Linked DNA regions of Xenopus tropicalis. The main gene of each other region encodes a partner of the protein of the gene in region 3 in a complex. Links are inferred from orthologs where the notes say so. Each region holds a gene or a part of one and is shown on either strand. Other genes may lie near its edges. The genes, in order: nme7, tubgcp2 and tubgcp5.

Region 1 (8,325 bases), about 60 Mb from region 3:
TTTGGGTAAATTATGGAAGTCTTTTTCTAAAATGTCCATGTTTTCAAATCAGAAAGGTAGGTAGGACAGTTGTATCTGCCAGCCTATGTCCACCAATGGAGAAATACCTGAATCTGAGAACACTGCCTCCCTTTGACAGCACCACTGTAGATGTGTCCCATGACAAGAGGCGGCATGGAAAGTTTTAGTTAGAAACCAGTACATATTAAATTAGCCTCAGCTGGTAGTGAATGACAGCTATTGCCCTATTGTTTGTCTCATAAAGTTAAATTAGTATTTTTTTATCCACTTTCTTAAATCAGATCAGCCACAATGTTAAATACCAGTGTTTGTTTTTCCACCTTAATCAGCATTTATACCTCTCTTTGATGTGCTTTACTTTAATGGTGTCATTAAGCTCTAGTAAATTATATTAGCTTGCGGTTATTTCTCAGTGTGGTTCATATCAATTCTGCAAATCCACCCCCATTATATTAGCTGCCTAGAACTGGAAATGGGCTGAAAGAAACTGTCATAAGTTAAAGTACACAATACAGAGGGTAAGGCTGGACAAAGTGAATAAATTGTGTGTGTGTGTTTATACATATATATAAATAAAAATACCTCACACTGTCCGCACTCCCTTTAATTGTCCAAGATTCAAAGATAACGGCGTGGATAACGTACGTACGTACGTACGTACGTACGTACGTACGTACGTACGTACTTACATACACACAGTTTCTTTTCTTTACTTTGCTGATTTCACTTAAACTAGCTTAGATGTGTTATTTGGCCATGGGTGCCAAATCTTACTCATTCATCTGTATAGTGTATCCCCTAATGTAAAATATAAGACAAAATTTGCCAGGGGTAAAGAGGAAAAGAAATGCAGCTGTAACATCTCTTTATTCTTTTTTACAGAACTGAAGCAATGGACTTTTATAATGAACATCATTCAAAATCATTTTTTAGGTATGGTTTTAAAGTTGATCTACAGAAGGTAAAGTGGGATTAAAATTCAGTTGCGGTACACTGTGGACAATTTTGTCACCATATTTGACATATAAAGTCCCATTTACGACTGTGAGTGCAGTGTGCAATTTTTAGCTGCAATTTGCCATTTTTTTACCCACAACTTCAATGTCATTGTGGCTTGTCTTAAAGGAACAGTAACACCAAAAAATGAAAGTGTATAAAAGTAACTAAAATATAATGTGCTGCTGCCCTGCACTGGTAAAAGTTGTGTGTTTACTTCAGAAAGTCTACTATAATTTTATATAAATAAGGTGCTATATAGCCATGGGGGCAGCCATTCAAAGGAGAAAAGGCACAGGCACATAGCAGATAACAGATAAAACACTATTGTATTCTACAGAGCTTATCTGTTATCTGCTATGTAACCTGTGCCTTTCTCCTTTTTTCCAGCTTGAATGGCTGCCCCCGTGGCTACACAGCAGCTTATTATATAAATTATAGTAGTGTTACTGTAGCAAACACACCAGTTTTACCAGTGCAGGGCAACAGTACATTATATTTTTATTACTTTAAAGCTCTTTTATTTTTTAGTGTTACTGTTCCTTTAACCACAGTAGTATCTGATACAACAAAATTGAAGCAAGTGCAAAATTTCATTGTGGGGATTGCATTATTCAAATGGCATTACTGTGTCTTTTGCAAGTGTCTCTACATTTGTTGCACCTATTGACGCAGCCTGCTATGGGAACCTTGGAATAACTCAGGCTGTAGCTCAAGTTCCTTTTGTAAATATGCACACCTGTGAACAACCTGCTTATGGAAAAATATATATGCTTTGACATAGTTTTAGAGATTCTCTTTTATTATTAGGGAAGATTAAGGTATCCTAACTGGATGTTCATGTCCCTGTTTTGTTTGGATTTTTTTTATTTTGTTTACACCCCCTGGTGTTAGTCCACTTGCCTTTGCTCACTTAACCATGTGTCCTAGTGCCTATTTATAAGGCAATTATCATACAACCTGAGCATTCTCAAATTTGCAGTTTATCACATGCTTTCCCCTTCAACTGTACCCTTACACTTACTCTGGCCCACAGCTAATCCAACTTTGGCACACTATTTCAACTTGCTGCCTTTAAAGGGCATGTAAAACCCACACACAAAAATGTAATCAGTGAACAGCCTCTGAAATCTTTCAATACCTGCCACTCTGGTTGTCCAGAGGTTAATAGGAAGGCTGCAACATACCCTTAATCACTTAGATTTCCTTCTCCTCCTGAAACCCACTTGGGCCCCCTCCCATCAGGAATTTGCTTTGGCTATTGGCTTGTGGGCATGCTCAGTTGTTCTAAACTCAGATTACTAAACACATCCTTCAGACTAGCAGCCAGTGAAGAGATGGCATTGCTGGTTTCCATATAAACTCAGCTCTAGCTGTCTGCTTCTCTTTTTTTCTCCTAACCTCCTCTCCTGAGCTCAGCTGAATGCTGAATAAGGGTATGTGTGTGTATGCTGTTTGCAGATATAAATGTATCTGATTATGCATCAGAGGAAAAATGGCCACCGTGTGAAAGCTGCTATTTGCTTTAGGAAAATGTGATGGTGATGGAGGGGGATATATGCAGTACAAATAATGCCATTATGGTGGGGGTGACATGCCCAACTGATATACCTTGTAGGCAAATGTAGGCTTTACATGCCTTTAAAGATGCCTCCAGATCAGCCAAAAACAGTTGAGAAGGTCATGGACAGGCCCTCACTTGCTCCAATTGAGATTCATGCCTGTACTGCTACCAAAGAAGTTCTACTCACTAAACAACCTCTGTAATCCTAATTTCCACCCACCTTCTAATCCTTTACTGGCTTCATATAACACCACACCCACCACTAGTACCACAAATACAAAACAGATAACATTGGCCTCAGCATTCCATTACACAAGAAATTCTATATACCTACAGTATATCAGCACAGATATATCACTTTTCATTCATTTTCTGCTGATATATAATGTCAACACTCCTGAATTCAACCCCTATTCCAGTATTTTAAATCCTCATACACAAGTACTAATTTCTTTTATTCTCGGAAATCCTTTGTTGTTATTGTTTCCATCTTAACCTCTAGTTACCTTTTAGCCATTACTCAATTTTGCCTACAACATTGTGTACATTGCCAGGTCCAAATGTTAGGCAATGAGAAGGCATTTTTGGGAGATTTGTTGTCCGCAGTTGCAAAGATTTACTGCAGGCGACAAAACTTCTTATCTGCCAGGGTGCTTATGGGGAAAGAAACACAAAGAAACAACACATTTGGAGAGAAGGAAAAGTCAGTCTACATAATAAGGTTTCTTCCCACAGTGACTTTGACAGTGGGAGGAAGTTGCTGTAAGAGATCCTACTCAATGGTGATGTGATGCTTTTCGTAAGCAAAGATTTTTTAATGTTTTTGGTTTTTTTTTTTAAATAAACACAAAGACAGAAGAAGCCAAAATTCAAGTTGCCTTGGGTTAAACATATGTAAATATTATGTCTTCAATGTTAAAGCCAGTGCCTCACAGGGCAGATCCCACCCCTGCATTTAAAGAAGCTTATTGATGGGCCTGCACCTGGAGCCATTGTGCCTGGGTACAGTACACAGTGCAGACACAACCATAAGCTTTATTGAGTGCAAGGGAGGATTCTCAGCCTGCGTTTATCCACAGGCCAAGAATCCGCCCCATGTGGCATTGGCCTAAAAACAGAGAAGGTGGTTTCTGGAATGTACAAAATCTCTTCTGCATGGGCAACCAAACACCCCAAACTACCTTTTTATTAAAGACTATATAAATGTCTGCCTGCTTCTTGTCAGTCTATTCTCATAATCACTGAAAAAACCCAATCTGTGATTGCCTTAACAATTACTTGGAAAAAAAATTATAAAGGAAATAATCTACAATTTCGCAGCGAGGATAGCTGCATATGTTAACTATATAGGGTATAGTATGCTAAAAGCAAATATTAGTTTTAATGTTCTTTCAGCAAAGTAAATATCTGTATATCAAATAATCTAGAGTAACATAGTTTGTTTAACATGATAAACATAATCAAATATGGCCAGCTTGGATTTTTTTTATCTAGGATAAAGAACTAAAAATACACATATACACACATGTGCACACTTTTTTTTTTTTTTTTTTTTTTTTTTTTTTTTTTTTTTTTTTTAACCTTAAAAGCTGTCTGGGCTAGATTCTTGTTAGGAAGCTGGAATGGTTTAACTTAGTGCTGTGACATTTTAGTTGTTATATTAATCTGTTAAAGCTATTTGGGTGTGTCAGATACTAATTGGGTAAATCTCTTATCTGCTGGCTTAATCACAATTTTGTTGTTGCACTCCAAGTCCTTAAAGACAAAGGGGCCTATTTACTATACTGTGTAAAATTATTTACACCAGAAATTATTGAAAAGTGGTTTATTATTGTATGGTATAATATTTAAAGAGATCCTGATACCAGAAATGAAACCTTTTTTACATCTATCATAACATTGTCTTTGCATGCTATTTATAATTTTGCCATAAAAGTATTTGTCCGATGCTTTTACATTACCTCTCTGATCCCTCATGTTCCCCTATAAGGGGGCTGCCATATTTGTGCAGCAGGAGGCCGTTAGCATTAGAAGCTATAACTGACAGGTTGAGAAAGGACAGTCAGGTTGGCAAAACAGTCAGGTTTAGGAATTTCAAGTAACAATTACTTACAAAAACAGCCCTATTAGCAAGAAACGATCAACATGATCTATAGGTAACTTTTCATGTAGGTTCATAATTTAAAAAGTAGATACTATGGGAAATTGTATTTGGAGCTTTCTAGATAATGGGTTACTGGATAAAAGATCCCATGACCTGGACAATATTTTTTAGCACCACAAACACACCTCCATATACTGACTGTTATTTGCACTCTCAAACTAACTAGTGTGTAACTAGTACAGGTATAGAACCCGTTATCCAGAATGCTTGGGGCCGAGGGTATTCCGGATAAGGGGTCTTTCCGTAATTTGGAGCTCCATACCTTAAGTCTACTAAAAAATCAATAAAACATTAATTAAACCCAATAAGATTGTTTTGCCTCCAATAAGGATTATTTATATCTTAGTTGGGATCAATTACAAGGTACTGTTTTATTACTACAGAGAAAAAGGAAATCGGTTTTAAAATTCTGAATTATTTGATTAAAATGTAGTCTATGGGAGATGGGCTTTCCATAATTCGGAGCTCTCTGGATAAGGGGTTTCCGGATAAGGGATCCCATACCTGTACAAGCAATGTACAGAAAGACTGGGATAACCAGGGTAACTTTACACAGAGATAAAAAATGATAAACAGGTATTTAGTTATTTTTAAAATCCTTTTTTGGGCTAACTATTCTCCTTCTCCTTATGCTTTTTCTTGTCATTTACGGAAGAAAACATATCAATTTCTGGCAAATTTTAAATATTAAAGTTATATATAAAAGTTATAGAAAAATATAAAGTTATGTAATGATGTGATGACTTTAGTGTCTCATTCCCTTTCTACTCCCAAACCCCTTTAGTCAAGTATTAAAATACCATTTGGGGTCATGGCCTGATGGTTACAGGTAGTGATGAGCTAAGTTTTTTACCACAAATGGATTTGCAGGGAAATTCCGCATTTTGCCATTGGCAATTTTTTTTTTTGCCAAATGGCAGCAAAATATTGCAGTCGTATAAAAAAAAAAGTTGCAGTTGCGGAAAAAAGGTTGCGTTTTGCGAAATTTAAGGGTAAGTTTCGCTAATTTTTCATCTGGACAGATTAGCTCATCACTAGTTACAGGTACATAGAAACACCCCAAAATGTCCTACATTTGTTCATATTCTATAGAAATTAGAGATCCCATAAAATTATCTTTAGAAAAAGCATTGTTCTGTGCTGTTAAGCAAAATGTGAAATGTTATACTTTCAATACACCTTTTGATTTTATGTCCAAGTAAACCATTTCATATGTTTTTCAGTGATCTTATTAGTTTTATGACAAGTGGGCCCATTGTAGCAATGGAGGTAGTTGGAGATGAAGCTGTCTCTTCATGGAGAAAATTATTAGGACCAACAAATTCCAGCATTGCAAGGAGTGAACTTCCTCAGAGCATAAGAGCAAGGTTTGGAACTGATGGCACCAAGAATGCAGCTCATGGTTCAGATTCCATTGCTTCAGCTGCTCGTGTAAGTATAGAAGATCTATACTTTCTAGTAAAAATGGAAATGTTTTGTCAGTCCTGATTTCTTTAGTCAACTCTATATTATATGAATTTTAGTAAGTAATATAGCTGTTTCTGAAAAGAGTAAGTGAAGGAATACATTACCTTCTAATTAATTTATTTAATAGCAGGTCAAAAATAAAATGCAAATAATCATACTGAAACATACTGTGATCTTATTCTTATCAGCCAGGCATAATTTGAATACAGTGGAGTGCAGCCAGACCTGGGGGACCTGTGCCCCTTAGTGCTCAAGCACTTCTTTCCTGGGTAGAATAAATAACTCCTTTAGTGTCTATGCAGTAAGTATAGTATGATAAGAAAACATTTGTCTAAGATCATCGGGTTTCTCTGTCAAAATCAATAGACTATTGATGTTCCTCTACTTTTTAGTCAGCTGGCTGGTTATTTAAAAGAACTGTGTTTAACTCCCTAATACTGCACACATTCTTTAAAAGCTTATTTCTTTCTGCCTGACCTCAGCACTGATTGGCCCTGTTAAAACATATCTGCATAAATCCTTGGCAATCGTTTTGAAGTCCCTTTTTGGTATTTTCAATTAAATCTGCTAACTCATTGTAAATCAAATGAATCACAACCCCAGACAGAATATAGCAAGTAAGAACTTACTGGAACTGACCTAATTTTAGTGCTGGTTCACTCTGGGAACATGGAAAACTGGGTTTTAATACAGATTATGCAGATTGAGTCTGATCTGTTGGAGGGTTTAATATTGTTATAGAATGCTTGTGGTTTATAAACAATAGAGTTTTGTTTTCATCTTTTCACGTAGCCTAACTTGAATGAGAGTTCTGGCACACCATCTCAGACAAAAAAACTGGTATGGTAACCTGGCACAAACTAGATGTTTTGTACCTAGCTTTAGAATTTGCACAGCCTTTTTATTTCTCTGCATGGCTTATCTGTGTTGTAGTTCCATATACTAGCAAGGATATATATATATACAGATATTTGGCCATGGATAGACTCGCTTTTACATTTGTAGCTATTGCTTCTGGAACTCCTAATATCACTAGTAGATTGATACTGTGAGTTTAACTGTACTGCAGCTCTTGCTGTCCCTTTGCCAAGTTTTTATTTTACAAATGTTTTTTTTCTTGTAACAGGAATGCTAGCCTTCAAATTCTTAACAAAAGTTAATTTTTTTTTGTTAAATGTTACTAGGAATTGGAATTTTTCTTTCCATCAAGTGGAGGACGTGCTCCAAAAAATACTGCAAAGTTTACAGACTGTACTTGCTGTATTATTAAGCCCCATGCCATTTCTGAAGGTGAGTATAACACTATGCTATTGTTTACATATCAAAGGATGACACAAAACAGTGAAAATTTCACAGCAGGATATGTAAAAGGAATATCAAAGTTGTAGGAACAGACATAGGCACATCCGCAGGACTTTCCTTTCCTTTGAAAAAGTGCATGTATTGTGCCTTTTTTTTTTTGGAAAATGGCACAATAAACGCACTTCTGCAAGGTATGTCCTGCTGTTGAGCCTATCTCTGTTCCTACAACTTTGATATTCAGCATTTCCCCTTTTTGGTGGTTAGGGAAAGGAACTACACTTTTGGCTCTCAAGGTGGCTGTAAGTAAGGCTGGAGATATTTTGGTTCATTTGATGTTAACCCTTTCACTGCCAGCCGTTTTGAACAAAGTGGAACTTCTACTGCCAGACAGTTTTTGAACATTTTGCACTGTTTCACTTTAGGGGCCTTTCCTTGGGGGAACTTTTAGTTTACCCAGGAAAACAATATATTGTTTTTTTCAGGACAACCTAAGCTTTTAAAATATGGTAGAATTTTTGTGTAATTCCAATTTTGTAACAAGATATAGGCTTCTAAATGTCTAAAAAATGAAAAAAAATTATATTTTCCATAATATAAACACACATACCAGAAACAAAAATTATTTTATGCATGAAAATACACCTGATTTGGAAAGTCCCATGTCTCCTGAACGTGCCAATACCAAATATATATAGTTTTATGGAGATTTCTCACATGTATAGGTCAAAAACTCCCAGCAGTACACTACCAAATTTCCAAAGCACTGCTCCAGAAAGCTGCACACTTTAGATTTTAAGGCCAAAAATTCCGC
Region 2 (8,325 bases), on a different chromosome or scaffold from region 3:
AAAAATTTTCCGCAAAAAAAAAAGAATTACCAGAGAAAAAAGTATTTGCCCAATAATTGTATATTACCTATCTGATCCCCAAGGTCCCCTCTATGAGGGAGCTGCCATATTTATGCAGCAGTAGGTTGTTAGCATTCAAAGCTATAACTGACAGGTTGGGAAGGGACAGTCAGGTTGGCAAAACAGTCAGGTTCAGGAACTTCAATAATGATTACTTTCAAAAGCAGCCCTATCAGCAAAAAACGATCAACTTGACTTATAGGTAACTTTTAATGTACATTAATATTTTGAAGAGTAGTTTTAGTGTCAGTATCACTTTAAGCAAATTTGTCAGCAGTTTCCAAATTTTTTCGAAGAGAAACATGACAGATTTTGTCACTAACAATAACCTATTTAATATTGAGAAAATAGCAATTAAAGGAGAAGGAAAGGCTGTCACTATTATTAGTGCAGCCTTTGTGAAATCATGAATAAATATTGAAATTGGCTTTTTTCTTTTTTTAAATTAGATTTTATTTAATATATGTTTAGCCTTTTAAAGGAGAAGGAAAGGCTAAGTCACTTGGGGGTGCCAAAATGTTAGGCACCCCCAAGTGACTTAAATTGCTTACCTTGTACCCCAGGCCGGTGCCCCTGTTAAGAGAGAACCGCATCAGCCCAGGGAAGCTGCGAGCGCTTCCTTCTTCCGTGTTGGCGCACTTGCACATATGCATTAGAGTGAAAAGCCGACCTTTAACAAAGTCGGCTTTTCACTCTAATGCGCATGCGCCAGCCCAGGAATTGCGCCGCAGATTAAATGCTGAAGGAGGAAGCGCACCCTGCAGGTACCCCGGGCTGGTGCAGTTTTCTCCAAACAGGGGCACCAGCCTGTAGTACAAGGTAAGCGATTAAATCACTTGGGGGTGCCTAACATTTTGGCACCCCCAAGTGACTTAGCCTTTCCTTCTCCTTTAAAAGGCTAAACATATATTAAATAAAATCTAATTTAAAAAAAAAAAAGCCAATTTTGCATATTTATTCAAGATTCCACAAAGGCTACAAAATACTGCACTAACATTTGTCCAAGCTGTAACTTACAGATTGCAACTTCAATGTCTGCTCCAAACATTTTTCATATTGTGGGAAATTTATCACAATGCAAATTTATGGTAAATCCCTGCACCTAGGAAATTTGACTATGAAGATTCTCATTCATGAAGGTTATGATATACAGTATCTAGTAGAATTAAGTCTAAAACAATTGGACTTTTTACGAATTTTTTCCTAAAAATGTTTCACCACTCATCCAAGTGGCTTCTTCAGTTTAAATGACTGGTAGGGAATTCCCTGGGATTTAAACCCTTGAGGGTAGTAACATGCATATTTTGGACTGAGAGGACAGATCGTTTGAAAGAGGTGTGTAAGAGGCTATTTATGCCAGCATGGAACCATTATGATTGGATGCCTGTGACTGTACTACCCTCAAGGGTTTAAATGCCGGGAAATTACCTACCAGTCATTTGAACTGAAGAAGCCACTCGGATGAGTGGTGAAACGTTTTCAAGAAAAAGCTCAGAAAATTCCAGCTGTTTTAGACTTAATTCTAATAGATAAAGAAAATTTGAATAAAAATGTGAAAACATTTTTTCACAACTGAGAAAATGTGAAAATAAATGATTTTCCCAACCTGCCTTTTAGGAAAAAATGCTAGCCAAAAATTATAAATTGGAGAACATTTCCCAAAACCTTGAATTGTATTCACTGGTGATAAAATGTAACAAGAAAGGATGTCTGCAAGCAGATCAAATCCTGAAAACAAACTAATTATTAGTAATTAATAGTGCACCCTGTTTTTAACAGCAAAGCAAATTCTGAGCTAATTTTGACCAGTAAAATACTTCAGGCTTTAGGTAACCTGCTTTTTGGAAGGGAAAGTGGGGATCAGGTGTCAGGACCTGTATATAATGCATTTGAGGGTAAAGTTCCCAGAAGTCGCTGGAAAACTAATTATAGATGCAATATAGATTCACAAATGAGAATTCTACTGATCAAAAAACTTCATTGTAAATGCAACAGAATCCCCAAATGAGAATGCCGATTCCCAGCACTATGTTGGGCTGTTATCTTGCCCGACATATACACATATACAGATAATTATCTCATTTTTTTCCTCATTATAGGACACCGGAATCAGACATGGGGAGAAAGGACAGACTTGTTCAGTACTGGGAAACTGTGCTTAATGCTTTCAATTCTAATTACAGGAGGATTTTTCACAGCAGTTGCTGGCTGTATAGATTAAGGGAAAAGTTTTGGAAATGTTTTATTGTGCAGTATTACTTTAACAATACAACCCTGGTGTTCCTGGACTACAGCTCCCACCATGCCTCAACATTCATTACATGTTACATTATTCTAGGATTTGTAGTCCAAAAACAACTGAGTAAAGTTTGGTTGAGCAGTCAGTGCAGCAGGGTTTACATTCCCTTTAACTTAAAGTCCTAGGCCTGGAATTATAGAGAGGCCACAAAGGCCCAGACAAAAGGCAGCATCTGCACTTGCTTGTTCATTCAAACTGGGAACATGGGACTGTTTTAATCTCTCACATGTTGAGATTCAAGTGCTCTAGAACAGAGCTGTCCAACTTGGGTGGTACCGAGGGCCGGAATTTTTCCGACCTACGTGATGGAGGGCCGATAATGGAAGCCAGTTTTGACCACTCCCCTTTTTGAAACCACACCCGTGTTATCACATAACCATACCCATATTAATGGTTGTAGTACAGCAAAAACCTGCCATACCCTGTCTGTGTGTGCCATACTTTGACTGTGTGTGCGATTCTTGGCTGGTTTGTGCCATACTTGGCCTGTGTGTGCCATACTCTGCTTGCCCTACCCTGCCTGTGTGTGCCATATTCTGCTTGCTCTACCCTGCCTGTGTGTACCATACTCTGCCTGCCCTATGCTGCCTGTGTATATGGCACACACAGGCAGCATACAGTGACACAATGCTGGCACTGCTCCTACAGTCTGCACAATAACTATATATTAAAAAACGTTTTAATTGCAGTACCACCTCAGTATATGTTCTTTTTGTAGTGTGCAGGGATTATTTATGGGTTTCTACTGCTCTATTTACAGTCTGACTGAGGTGTGAACAGGGGAACAATGTGGGTGATTACAGCCTGAGACTGAGGTGTGAACACTGCAGGGGGTAAACAATGCAGGGATTAAAAGGTGTGAACAACACAGGGGATTACATTTTTAAACAATACAGAGGGTTTACAGCCTGAATCTGAGGTGAGAACCATGCAGGGGGGGCAGTTACTCACAGTACTGATACCATTTAAATCTTACACAAGAGTAAGCCATCAAAGCAGCCAGACAGGTGGGGGGCCACACAGAGGGGGGTCGCGGGCCGCCAGTTGGACAGCACTGCTCTAGAACAAGCTGACATGCTGGGCTTGGGGTGGAGGCATGATGCAGGCTTAGGGTTGCACCTTTGGAAACCTTGTCTTTCCAGTGCCCTTCACCTTTGCATAAGGTGACCACCCAAAGACTTACCCAGTAAGAAATGCAAAAAAATTGTCTTACTTTGGCACTATGAGTAGAAACACTGGTAGTGACATAGGGAGTACGATTTTTCTGCAGAAGATCAATGTAAACTTCCGCCCCTTCTAATCCAAAGACATGCAGAAGGCTGATGAGCTCATTTACATCATGGTGAATCCGAAATTCACTCATAGTGAATGATCTAGGAAAGACAGATTGAACATGCACATATATAAAAACTTCATAAAAATAGTCAAACAGCACAAAAAGTTTTAAACCAGTCTACTTATTATTCTTACTGTACAGCAGAAGCCAATTTAGTAATGATTAAGGGTCCATACTTAAATTATTATTTATTTTCTTTAAAATACTATAGTTTAGTCACATAAAGACAATTAAAAGGATATTATCACAGTATTTATAGTCATCTACTTTTATATGAATCGTACACAAGCAAATATTTACTTAAGTTCAAATATCAAAATTAACAACATTTTGCCAAAAAAATATGCTACAACATCAGCAATTTATTTATCTCATTATCTACATCATACCCTGCATGCTAATATTACATTTCATTGTGCTGTTAATTCATCAGTGTATTTTCCAAAATACAGTTGTATGAGGAAAATATAAAAATTATGTATGACAGGCAAGTTTTGGCAGATTGCAGTCGCAAAGGCGTTATCTGTTATTTTAAGCAAATGTCACAGTGAAACTATACTTTGCATTAACCCGTTCCCTGCCAAGCATGTAGGTACTACGTTATTTTAAAAAATAGTTATTTGCCAAGCACATAGTACCTATGTTCTTGGCAGAAAAGGGTTTCCCTCTGCGGCGGCTTTTCACACTCGTGTCTGCTGTAAGAGGTTCCTGCTGCAGCAGCCCACCCAGCAGCCTCACTTCCTAATGCAGAGACTGTGTGGTCCTAGGGTCCTCTGTGCAGTGATGTAATTTCCTTATAGAATTAAAATTAAAACCAATATAAATATACCAGTAATAAAGTAATGCGAAAATACAAACATCCATTAAGTACATCAAATATTAGATTAGTCAAATTCAAATCAATGAATGGTTCATTTAGGATAAGTTTACATTAACAGGTGATCAAATAGAAGAAAAGAGAAGAAAAGAGATGGGGAGAAACAGGTTATTTATGACAGCTCAAATCCCATCTAACATTAAGTCCTTGTAGTTCCTATGTGTTAAGTAAAAAAAATCCACTTAGCTTCAAGATTTAGTAATTTCTTTACAATATCACCTCCTCTGTTATTTATGATAGCACTATCAATACCTTGAACTCGTAACATAAATACCTATCCTCCATTACAGAGTTTAAAGTGTCTTGCCACTGCTGTTAATTCACTTTTAGAGGCAATCTGGTTTATATGTTCTCTTATGGGATTTTTTGAAGGCCTGGTTGTGCATCCTACATATTGAATGTTAAAGTTCATACAAGTTAGTAGATACACTGAAGCTGCGGTGTTACAATGTAGCTGTTTATCTTATAGTTTTTTCCTGTGCTTGTACTTGTGAAACATTTTGATACAAATACTTTAGAGCAAGTGATACAACGTGAGGACCCACATCGATACATCCCTTTCACTTGTAGCCAATTGCCTCTTACTCTATCACGTTTAGATTCACTTGGTGATGTGGGTGCTCTTTTGCTAACAAATTTGCATCTCTCTCCTAGGACATGTCGTAGTTTAGGATCATTATATAGAATAGGGAGATGTTTCTTAATATATTTGACTGAATTGATTACTGTATGGAGTAAACATAAATGCAATTTTATTCTTTTTTTTTTATTTTTAAGCAAATCCTCTCTGTTCCTATTTAATGCTTTATTGAAAGCGCTGTCTAGATCATTCTTGGAGTAACCTCTCGCCATTAATTTACCTTTTAATCCACGTGCTCTATCTATAAAATCAGATTCTGAACTACAGTTACGTTTCAATCTACAGAACTGTCCAGTAGGGATGCCTCTAAATGCATTCTTTGGATGACAAGAAGCTGCCTGTAATACCTCTGTATACCTGCAATACCTGCATTCCCTGTGCATTCTTTCTTAAAAACAGTGGTAACCATTTTTAAATCTAAATGTGACTGTGTTATATCCAAAAAGGCGATACTAGTCTCATTCCAGTGACCTGTGAAATTTAAATTTAGATCATTGTGATTTAAAGGACAATGAAAGGTTAATATAAATTAAAAGTAAGTCTAAAGGCATTCTTTTTAAGTACTTACTGCATATCTAAATTCCCAGATCCCTGCTTGCTTCTCTGAGATATGGTGCTGGCAGCCTACAGCAGTGTGAAGACTACAGTGACATCACTGAAATCTCTCTTCCCTTCCTGTAGGCTGCCAGCGGCGGCCTTCCTATTCTCTGAGCATGTGTGTAACTTGATCCTATCTCCTGTTCTGAGCTACACATGCCCACCAGCCAATCAGAAGCGGATCTGGCAGAGGGGAGGGGGGAGGGAATGAAACACATGTGCAGTATGAAGCAAGGAGAAAAAGGAAGGGAGAATACCTTTTTAGAGATGGCTGCCTGTTCTAGAAAATGTGAAGTAAGTGTGACTGAGTAAATATCTGGTTAGGTGAGCCAAAAGTGTGGCGTTTGTACTAAACAATGGGAGGACTATTGGGCAGTATGCTTTTTAAATTTTGACTTGCATTCTCCTTTAAACTTTCTAAAAAGCAGGTTATTACCTGCTTTTTAGAAAGTTTAAATCACAATGATCTAAATTTAAAATTTATAAATATTTGTATGGAAAGGTGAAGGGTCTACTATTGTAGACCCTTCACCTTTCCATACAAATATAAAGTTGTCTATATAACGTTTGTAGACAACAATAGCCTTTGTGTTGGTGTCACTACCTTCATAGGTGGTTCTCCTCCCACCAACCCATGTAGAGGTTGGCTTATGTGGGTGCGAATTATGCACCGACTGAGATCCCACATCTCTGAAGGTAATAGACACCATCAAATTGAAAAAAGTTGTGATGTAATAGATAGTCTATTGCTTCCAAAATAAAATATTTAATAGCAATTGAGTAGTCACTATATTTATCTAAATGATATGTTATAGATATAATCAGATCTCCACTTAAAATCCTCTAATAGCTGTATCACATGTTGTATCTTTCAAATATGATTTAAGTCTTAATACAAGGGGTTGTAAGTACAGATCAATTAGCTCTGATAGTTTCTCATTAAGAGAATTCATACCAGAGACAATTGGACATCCTTTAGGTGGAATTAAACCCTTAATGTACTTTAGGGAGGTGATAGAACAACTGCACCATGGGATATTCCAGAACAAGTGCTAATTTGATTGCCAGAAATTTTTTTACCTTCTGGCAAGCACAGATATATACCAGCAGAAAAATACTGGAACAACACTCTTGACAACATTCTCAGGAACCCTAGCAGCGAGAGAGGAGACATCTCTCTTAACTATAAGTTCTTACTGGAAAACATAGACTATGACAAACTAACAAAACAACCAAGACAATGGACAGCGAACCTAGACAGAATGGAAATAAAGCTAATGCTGACAGCATATAAACAAATATGGTATACTTTACCATCCAGCATATACAGGGAAATTGCTGTTAAATCGATTTCATAGGATTTACCTAACCCCATTAACCTTGTTTAAAGCCCAAATGAGACAGGATGAACATTGCCCCAAATTTCAAGGAGCCCCAGCTGACTTAATGCATTGTCTGTGGAACTGCCCACTTATGAAACGTTTCTTGCTGCAGGTTAAAAACTATGCAACCAGGTACCTGGTTAACTATGTACCCCTGCCACCACAGTGAGCAATATGAGGAGTGAACCCAAATACTGCTACAAGAATGACCAGCGGGGCCAAAACACTTTTACTTATTCTGTCCGCTGTCGGCAAAAAAACTATATATCAATATTATTAATATTTATTTTATGAATATTTAATTCCTCGGGCAATGAAAATAACTGGTTTCAAACCTAGTGGTAAATAACACAGACCATGAGAGGAGACCCGACCATACAGAAAGAGTTAAACCTTAGCCTTCTAGCAAATAAATTGTTATTAGAGACCATGGGCTGGGGAGAAAAGTATAGTGCTGGGTTTGGGAACAGATAGAAAATATTGCGCTGTTATTACATATATATTTGGTTTCGTCCCTGAAGAAAAGTACTGTTTGTACTCGAAATTGAGTCCCTGAGCGTGCGGTACTCTTTTTCTATATACAAACGATCCGGAACAGCACCTCTTATCTTTTAAATTAAAATGCCTTTATTGCAAATTTCAGGGGCAAACAACAGCAACGTTTCAGGCCATGCGTGGCCTTTTATCAAGCTACAAATTAAATACAAGGTGTTGTGCTGACTACTACTTCCAAAACTCTTTTTCTATATGTCTATTTTTTGACCCTGCACCCAGGGATGTTATTTTGGTGACAGTGTGCTCCACACTGTTCTGTTCTCTCTCCCTATTATATATACCGTATATACTCGAGTATAAGCAGAGTTTTCCAGCACTCAAAATGTGCTAAAAAAGGAAGCCTCGGCTTATACTCGAGTGTACTTGTGTCGAAGGACAAGGATATGCCGGTTCGACACAAGTAATCAGATGGTGCGCGGCGCGACAAAGGGATGTGATGGTAGGACAAGGATGAAGAAGTGAAGAGAAACTATGGTTCCTTTGTTAGGTATCTGTCCATTGGCAAGGGGGCCGATTAGTTGTATACCATATGGGGATGGCCTATGTTTAGCTGTCTTAACAGCTAAAAAATGCAATTTG
Region 3 (9,010 bases):
TAATGTACAGTCAAAGCATGCACCTGCCAGTGAACAGATCCATAAACCTAAAGCACTACACAGGTCTAAGGCCAAATCAGCACTGATCTCTCTGCATTTTTGGAACTAAATGTTTGGCAGCTCCACTGTATGTATTTTTAAAAAGACATTTGTAAGATAAAAGTAGCATTTATTTATCCTTTAACTACAAAACTGGATTCCCAAACTTCTCTCTTGCTAAATGTACAAAAAAATAAACATGGTACTATGTATGAAGGTTATAGAGCCAAATAGGAAGGGACAGGCATCTAACATTCTGCCACCTACATTCTGAGACAAATCAGGCTGATCCAATTGTTTGGCCCCCGGGCCAACAATCATATCTTATTGGATGTCTACGCAGGCTTGATGGGAGAGGACCACAACAATGGTCTATGTGGTCCTCACTCAAAGAGATTTTTGAACCTGGCTGATAGATATCTGCCCAATATTTGGCCAGATATTTAATTGGGGAGACAGTCGGGGGGGGGGGGCATACATGGGCCTAAAAGGGCCAAATTACTATTCTAAATTTGTTTAGAGAGAAAATCTTTTTCATCCTACTACTACATCACCTTTGTAAGCAATGAGAAGCAGCGGGGATGAAGTATCTATTTTTACAGTGTTCTTGCCCTCCTGCTGAGTACTTTACACCAGCTAAGTGGTCCCCATTGGATGTCCAAGAACACAGATATATGTTGGCAACGTAGCCCTACAATATGAGACATATACAAACTTAACATACCGATTTTCTTCCAGAAATGCTATGAGCTACCTTTGACCTTCCTAGATAATTTCTGTACTGAATGCCTTCAAATCATATATACATGCTGTATACAGAAAATTTGAAATTTACTTTGCATAACTAAATATGATACTAAGAATAACAATATATAAACTAATTACTGACAGTTCACCTCATAACATAAATGGACTGTGCAGCTTTCTACTTACCAAAGAGTCTCACGAATAACCTGGGTTTCAGTAACAATAGTTTTATCATCAGGTGTATACAGTGGATCTGTGGTATACAAATGCTGATCCCTAAAACATAAAGTTGTTTGCAGTCATTAGAAATTCAGTAGAACTAAGAGTATTATGAAATTAATAAACATACAAAAAGTCATATTAGCAGAAAGCATTGCAACTCAGATAGTATCACTTTATCTTTTCATTTCCGTAACATTGTCCCATTGATGTCACTGGAATTGTTTAAAACTACTGGCAGAGAAAATTTTTTAGACAAGAATCGTACTGAAGTTTAAAAAGCAAACAATCATGTAACATTGTATCCAAGGGCATAAGCCTGAGGTTAATTGTGCATTCAAACACAGGCAGTGCAAAACCAAGCCTTTATATGGTGCATGGAAGTCATCCATGCTATATTTTTCACTTCATTCCTAGCAACGTTTAGGGAAGACAATTTGAGGTGTTTTAACAGCACAATTTGAGCAGGACAAAAAAAATTTAAAGCGTAAACAAATCTTAAACCTCTAATATGTTTAGATCTTAGAGTAGGGAACCCCAACTTTTTATACCCATGAGCCACATTCAAATGGAAAAAGTGTTGGGGAGCAACACAAGCATGGAAAAAGTTCCTGAGGGGCCAAATAAGAGCTATAATTGACAATTTGGTAGCCCCCATGTGGACTGGCAGCCTATAGAAGGCTCTGTTTGGCTTTACACTGGGTTTTATGCAACCAAAACTTGCCTCCAAGCCAGAAATTCAAAAATAAGCACCCGATTTGAGGCCACTGGGAGCAACATCCAAGGGCTTGTTGAGCAACATGTTGCTCATGAACCACTGCCTTAAAGGGACACTAACATTAAAAACACTTTTAAATAACTTGTATATATTAGTGACTTGGACTAATGAAATTCCTGCTGTGGTCACACCAGCTTAACTAGAGGGTTACTTACCAGATGGCTGACAGATTCGAATGAAGATGGGAGCTATGAGAAAATCGGGAAACTCTGGCTGTCCAGTACTGATGCACAATATGCTGCTCTAGCCAACTTCGTGCATCTGGCTCGCCAACTGCATAAAACATTTATGAGAATTATTAGCTGCATTAAAAGAAAGCCTTTACCTTTAACTAAAATGTGAGCAGCTGTAGATCTGCAAGATATCAAGAACCGCAGGCATCAAAAAGCTACCCTATTTAGAGCAAAAACACAAAGATTTTAAACAGGCAATTTATGTCATGAAATGCCGGGAAGGGGTGGGTGGAAAAGATGCACAGACCTTTCCATGATACCAAAGGAGAAGCACCTTTCTTTTCAGGATCCTCCAGTGGGGTTCTATCAACCTGAATTCCTGAGTCTTCCCTGCTAAGAGGCTCTTGATCATCCTCTTCTTCACTAGCTTCAGACCACTCCTGAAAATGACATGAATGCTTTAAAATAAGGTTGTCAAGCAAACAAAAAAAAATGGCACAGTGGGATGCTTAAAGGAAATGACAAAGAGAAATGTACCCCTTTTTTCTAAAAAGCCAGAAAAAATCACTAACAATAAAAGTTTTGTTTTCTTTTGGGCAGCACCCATATTTCTCAAGCAAAGGACACTCTTTTGTTGTAGATGGCTGCTGTTAGCCTGGTCAGCATGCCCCCCTCTAGAACTTGGAGCACATACAAATTTGTGTATGTGAATGGTAACACAGCTACAGACAAGTTATAAGACTTCCCTTACATAACTATTAATAGAAGTATTACAATATCGCCACCTATATTATTTTGCAGGAGTAAAAATAAGCATACAACGTTTTGGGTCATTTACATTCCTTTCATAAATATATAGAAGTGCTGTAAAGACACCATTTAAAGGACAAACAGTTGTGGTGCCATGGCCTCATTATTTAATGCATACATCTTAATTCTTTATCTAATAATACAAACAAATATGCAATACTTACAGGAGTTGCTACATCAGGGCTGACTTCTAGATCTTCCCCTTCCCTTAGGTATTTACCCCAGTCAAATGGTTCCTCTTCATCTAAAATAAAGCATTAGAATGCCGTTGGCATAAAAATGAACATAAACAACACACAGGTTTACAAATTACCAATTAAACACAATGCTTCCTTGATATAATGTCTACTTGCAGCATTAAAATTACCATTGCAAAGAAGGTTTTGTTGTAATGAAATAATTTATATGGTCTTTGTGCATTTGACAACACAGTTTGTTTCCTTTGTTTTCTAAGCAAAGATGGCACCAAAAGGTTGGGGCAGTATAGCAAGGAAGCATTTTACATAGTTGTAATACATATTTAATTACTAAGTTTTATCCTAGCATTATTTTAGTTTGTTAACATCGATTACCAGTTTCCTTCTTCCTTGGTTTTTCAATGTAATCATGGTTGGAAGGAGAGTCAGACAGACAAAGCAAGAGAGACAGTACAGCAAAATGTGAATCTGTCTGTGGGGGAAAAAAAAGAGATTCAGATTCTCAGTCAAACATTACCAATTAGATCTTTTTCCTTCAAATCCATATATTACCTGGGGTGTTACAGACCCCATAAAAGGAATGCAAAAGTCAAAAAGGTCTGCAATGTTCACACAGGAAATCTTTCTATGCAAAAGCAATCTTTGTTTTAGGACTGTCATGCTGCTCATGAGTAGTGAAATTTTTATAGTTCCTTCTTATGCAAAATGAGACTTAAGGCCTGCATGAAATACACTCCTATGTAGCATGGGATTGTTTCACTTGATACATCTGGCTAGAGCGAGACTTTGGTAACGTGAAATGTATAAAGTATAGGCTTAAATGTTGGAAATGGGCGAAGGTGATCTGCAAGAAGAGGTCCTATAATTAACGTATAACTGGAGGCTTGCATTATTATTTAAGTACCTACATGATCTCTGCTAATGTTTGTGCAGGTAAGCCCTCACACCAAAGGGTCCCTATACAACTTCCCCACATGATTTAAACACCACAAGAAAGTAATAAGGATAATCTGGAACAAAAGTGTGAATCAAGTAGGCACTTAAAAAGTTAGAATAGACATTCAACAATGGATATACAATACCTTTAACTATCCATGCAATTCTATTTTTTCCACGGCAAGTCAATATCTACAAATTAACAGTACTTTTGGAACTTTGGTTTGAAGTTATAAACTGCTTGGGAAGTGTATGTTTCCCCAAGGGGCTTCCATGCAGCAATTTCTAAAGCTCCTTATTTTAAGGATGGAGGTAGGGCTGGAGACACAACCAAATGCACCAGGGTGCACAAGAACACCTATAATCTACATCCTGAGGTGGCACAGTGTGTAGCCCTATACCTTACAGAAGGAAATACAGAGCTAGATAGTGCACACAGATCACTTTAATTGTAGTCTTTCAAACCACTAGAAAAATCCCACCATGTCCCCAGAGTCAGACAAACAAAATAATGCACCTTGGTTCCTTCAGTGCTTGGAAGAGGCAAAGAAAGGAACTCTTCTGTCAGTCTTTTCCAGCTTTCAGCTTTCTCTAGGTCTGAATGAATTACCAGCTTTTCAAATATTCTAAAGGTAAATGAGAAAATAGTTGGACATTGTTTTGAAACAAAAAAAGTATTGTTTTTTGTTTTTTTAGCAAATAGTACAAACATAATAAAAGTACCCTTCCAATGTTCTGAGGACTTTGTGGCTGCTAACATCAAGGTACCGGTGAAATCTGGAAAGAAACATTTTACTATTAAAGTGCAGAAGGTTGGGATGAAATATAGATTATGAATGATCTACATGGACAGATGTAAACTGATCTTCATCAGAACACCAAAATGATATGTAGGGCTTTGCTATAATATTATATTATACAGGAGACTTACCATAAATTACGAGGGCTACACAATTAAACCAATGGGTTGTGAGAAGGGCCCCTTTTATGCTGCTGTTTTACTCTGTAACTCTTTTGTTAATGTATTACAAATTAGTAACATAGTAAGTTGGGTTGAAAAAAGACATACGTCCATCAAGTTCAACCATAATGCCTATATATATAACCTGCCTAACTACTAGTTGATCCAGAGGAAGGCAAAAAACCCCTCTGAAGCCTCTCTAATTTGCCGCAGAGGGGATGTATAACTTAGTGGTGCTATATAAATAAATTGTGATGAATCAAGATTATTTTAAAAAAAACTGATCAGGTTTAGACTGAGCAGAAAAAAAACATTTTTCTCACACCAGTGGCGTAACTATCAATAGGCCCCACAACCGTGGAGGAGCCCAGTAGAGACCCCAATCTCCCTTGCAAACTTTTTCTTGCCTGCATTCTATTTCATTGGATTTATTAACTCACAGATATGTAAGTAAAAATGGGTTGCAACTATTTTTTTTTACATGGGGGACCAGTGAGCACTAAGTGTTGCCATTGTCATTATCAGCCAAGCAACAATATACCAATGTACCACCTACAAATTTCTGCATTATTTATAAATTAATATTTACATCTACTCAGTTATCAGCTTCCAAACTGGCATTGCATTTTATATGATCAGTTGGCAAACTTCAAGCCCCTAAATGCTATTGAGATCTGGTGTTTTACATAGCACCCCCATCAAGCAGAGTGTGTGTATCCGGCCATTTATAATCTAGTGCAGTACTCTGTTTATTTAACATACTACATACTGATGTGGTGATGATCACACATACACAGTAGCCTATTGAGAACACAGGTCAGCCAGGTTCCTTATCAGAGAGTTGCCATAGGAGAGCAAAGCTGCACAACGCTAAGCAGAACAATGCTCATTCGAATCGCACCTGAAGTTGGACCAGGCGAACTGCAAGGCCTGCTGGAAGTTATTGTCCTGCTCATCCTGAATGCCGCTCACCACGGACACAAGCGTTTTTATATCGCGCTCTTGATCCCTCTCGAAACGGGTCCAATGTGCCATAAGCCCCGCTGGTTATAGAACCACTCTGTCAACTCAACCGTCATTTCATCCCGCCCCTCGGCTGTACAACAGTTCCGCATGACCAATCAAAGCTAAGTTCGAGAAATACGTGGGGCAGTCTCTTGTATCAGGCAAAGGTAAAAGGAAGCGGAAGTGTTCAGTCGCCATTTATAATTAGGGCGAGAGTTGTGTTAGGGTGCGTGTTTTATCTGTGCCTAGTAATGCGGGAGTCGGGCTTCTCACCTTACAGATAACTTTTAGTATGATGTAGACAGAAGAATTCTAAGAGAGTTCTTATGTTTTATTGTTTTTGTTTTGTCCATTTTTTTTTTGTTTTCAGGTTGCTTGCTAGAGGTTAATCTAGCAACGAGTGAGCACCACCACTTTTGGTTGGTGAGATAATTCTTCTCTGACCACAACATTTTCTGCTGCAATCTGGAAACGGTCACTAGCAAAGCTAATTAAAACACACAAAGCAAATGTCTCTGATGATGTTCATTCATGATATATAGTATCTCTGTATATGAACTGAAGACGCCGCTCAAATGGGAGGTGGAAAGTTTTCAAGAAAACACAAAGTCCTGTTGCTTTAGGGCTGTGACAGACAGGGAGATCAGTTGCTGTGCAACAAATCTCCCTTGCTGTGGGAGACTGATCTCTCCAATATGCCATCCCACCAGCTAGAATGTAAGTTGTTGGAGGGATGGCATACGCGGCACCGAAATCACTGAAGTTTCTTCTCAAGGCGATTTTGGCAAATAGCGGCGCAGCGTATGCTATCCCACCAGCGATTTACATTCTAACCGGTGGGATGGCATAACGGGGAGATTAGTGGCCCTCGACAAGGGAGAATTGTTGCATGGCGACTAATCTCCCTGTCTGACACAGCCCTTAAGGTGGCCATACACGCACCGATAATATCGGTTTCGTACGATATTCGGTGCGTGTATGGTATGTCGCCGAGTCGACCAATATCGCAGGAAGCCATAGAAGGCGCCTGACCAAAATCTCCCTTCAGCGCTGAATCGGCAGAAGGAGGTAGAAATCCTATTGTTTCTACCTCCTTACCTGCCGATTCAGCCCTGAATGGTGTGTGGCGGATCTGACGATGTTTGGTGTGACCGATGGTCGCATCCAAGCAATTATAGGCAGTACTCCGTCTTAATTCATTAAAATGCCTTTATTGTCACAATGCGGGCAGCAGCATCACATTGTAACAATAAAGGCATTTTAATGTATTAAGACGGAATGCTGCCTATAATTGCTAGGTTGTTCCAGCATATTTAAATTGTGGTATACACACAGGTTGTTCTGTTATCATATATATATGGTGCACCCTTTTATGTGTGTACTGTACTATATATACAGTATTCCTACCCCTCCCACCTTCCTTTCTCAGCCTCCCTTTTCGTACTTCTCCTTTCTCTCTCCCTTATTATTTAACATATTACACTGCCCAGAATTAGACTTTATAAAGGGCCCAGTGTGGCCAGAAACAATCCTATTAGAGATGCTGACCCTCATCTATGCAGGAACTACAGAGAGTTGGACTTGATTTTATATATGCAACTTTTACCTGTAGGCACCTATAGGGGTAATGTGCCCCTATGGCTTTAAACCCTACACTTACTTATCTCCTTGTTACTGGGCAAGGATTTGTGTATCTATTTGGTATTTACATATACCTCTATTATTGGCCCATAAGTTAGACCACAGCTTACCACACTTTGATATAGTGTTTGGAAAGGGGTGGTTCTTCCTTCTTGGCCTGCAACTTTGATCTGTGTGGATGCTCCAGGAAGCCTGGGATCCACACCAGCCCAGAAGTGTTAGGCCCTAAGGCTAATGCCACACGTAGCGTATGCATCATATTTTCAGCAAGCCAAGAACACGCTACATATGCTTAAAAATCCTCCTACCTGTGTCTGTACCCAAATGCATTGAATACGCTCGGGTATAGGCACATGTAGTTGATATCCACCGAAAATGTGAAGTCTTGCTTTTTTTGGCGAATATCAGCTACATGTGCCTGCCCCTGAGCATATTCAATGCATTCGGTTGCAGGCACAGGTAGGAGGATTTTTAAGCATATGTAGCGTATTCTCTGCAAGCGGTTTTAGGCTTTCTGAAAATATGATACATACACGCTATGTGTGGCATTAGCCTAAGGAAGGGAACCATCACCCTTAGAGAAGTCAGGTAGCAGGAACCCCATGAACATGGCATAGCAAGGATTGGATATCTCCTGTTATAGCACGTTTAGGAATGTGAGTCAGATTTGTTTAGTAAGAGCAGTTTCTGGCTCCATCTAGAGGATTAGTCTCCTTTACAGGCTCTGCAGCCTTATTGTAGGGACCGCAGTTAAGACACAGGAATCAGGCTAGTCCTTTTTTCCCTGAACCACCGTCGGCTGTTTGGGATCTGGTCCAATAAGGTGGGCATCCTAAGGATGAAAGTCTGTTTTCCCTATGCTCTCCACAGTGGTGCAGTACTGTTCTACCCTTATTATCTATTGAGTCTGCCTTGCTTTATCACCTCATTGGCTGAGAGTATATTATCTGAACCCTGCAAATCACATCTGTTATTTCTGCCAAATAAATCCGTTTGCAAGAGCTTCTGGTGTCCATTTACTTCTTTATTTAAACTCTGTGCTTACATTTGGCCGTAGGAGTTACACAACACCCTCAATTAAAGTTACTTCCACTTTGTGAAGGCCCATCCTGGGAAAGGGGAGTCCCATGTACCCCATGCTCTACCCATAGCTGGATCTTGGCCTTATATAGCCAAATAGGGGTTACATACCTATTTCCACTTTCTTTCTTATTTTAATGCCCCATTGTTTCATATTTTGATTCTATATCTTTTCATCTCAAAAATATTCAAACAATGCAAATAATAAAAATGTTAAATAATTTTCATTCTGAACTTTATTAGAAAGATGCGTCTCGGCAGGCAACTATTTATACTTCCAGATGTAGAAATTTCCTCCTTAAGGCACTGTCTAAAATTCTTCGAAAGAATGAAAAAACCCATCCTTTATGACTCACAACTAAGTAAATCTAGTCATGCTAGATCAAATACTTTTGTTTTTTTCCGAGTGCTACATTTGATGCTA

What was found.
Region 1: tubgcp5 (region 3) and nme7 share a complex: the UniProt entries of both Homo sapiens proteins name them as parts of the gamma-tubulin ring complex. The link is inferred for Xenopus tropicalis from reciprocal best matches to the Homo sapiens genes TUBGCP5 and NME7.
Region 2: tubgcp5 (region 3) and tubgcp2 share a complex: the UniProt entries of both Homo sapiens proteins name them as parts of the gamma-tubulin ring complex. The link is inferred for Xenopus tropicalis from reciprocal best matches to the Homo sapiens genes TUBGCP5 and TUBGCP2.

The regions. Positions count from the first base shown.
Region 1 is NC_030678.2:55,287,268-55,295,592, reverse strand, and holds part of nme7 (nucleoside diphosphate kinase 7), read left to right. Parts: intron 1-903; coding exon 904-954; intron 955-5,968; coding exon 5,969-6,176; intron 6,177-7,396; coding exon 7,397-7,502; intron 7,503-8,325. UniProt on the Homo sapiens protein: Possesses an intrinsic kinase activity. Displays 3'-5' exonuclease activity with a preference for single-stranded DNA. Does not seem to have nucleoside diphosphate kinase activity.
Region 2 is NC_030683.2:56,278,629-56,286,953, forward strand, and holds part of tubgcp2 (gamma-tubulin complex component 2), read right to left. Parts: intron 4,489-8,325; exon of another isoform or gene 4,334-4,488; intron 3,733-4,333; 5' UTR 3,723-3,732; coding exon 3,573-3,722; intron 1-3,572. UniProt on the Homo sapiens protein: Component of the gamma-tubulin ring complex (gTuRC) which mediates microtubule nucleation.
Region 3 is NC_030678.2:114,836,139-114,845,148, forward strand, and holds the start of tubgcp5 (gamma-tubulin complex component 5), read right to left. Parts: upstream 6,001-9,010; 5' UTR 5,896-6,000; coding exon 5,762-5,895; intron 4,677-5,761; coding exon 4,623-4,676; intron 4,526-4,622; coding exon 4,417-4,525; intron 3,436-4,416; coding exon 3,339-3,435; intron 3,011-3,338; coding exon 2,931-3,010; intron 2,397-2,930; coding exon 2,264-2,396; intron 2,057-2,263; coding exon 1,939-2,056; intron 1,063-1,938; coding exon 973-1,062; intron 1-972. UniProt on the Homo sapiens protein: Component of the gamma-tubulin ring complex (gTuRC) which mediates microtubule nucleation.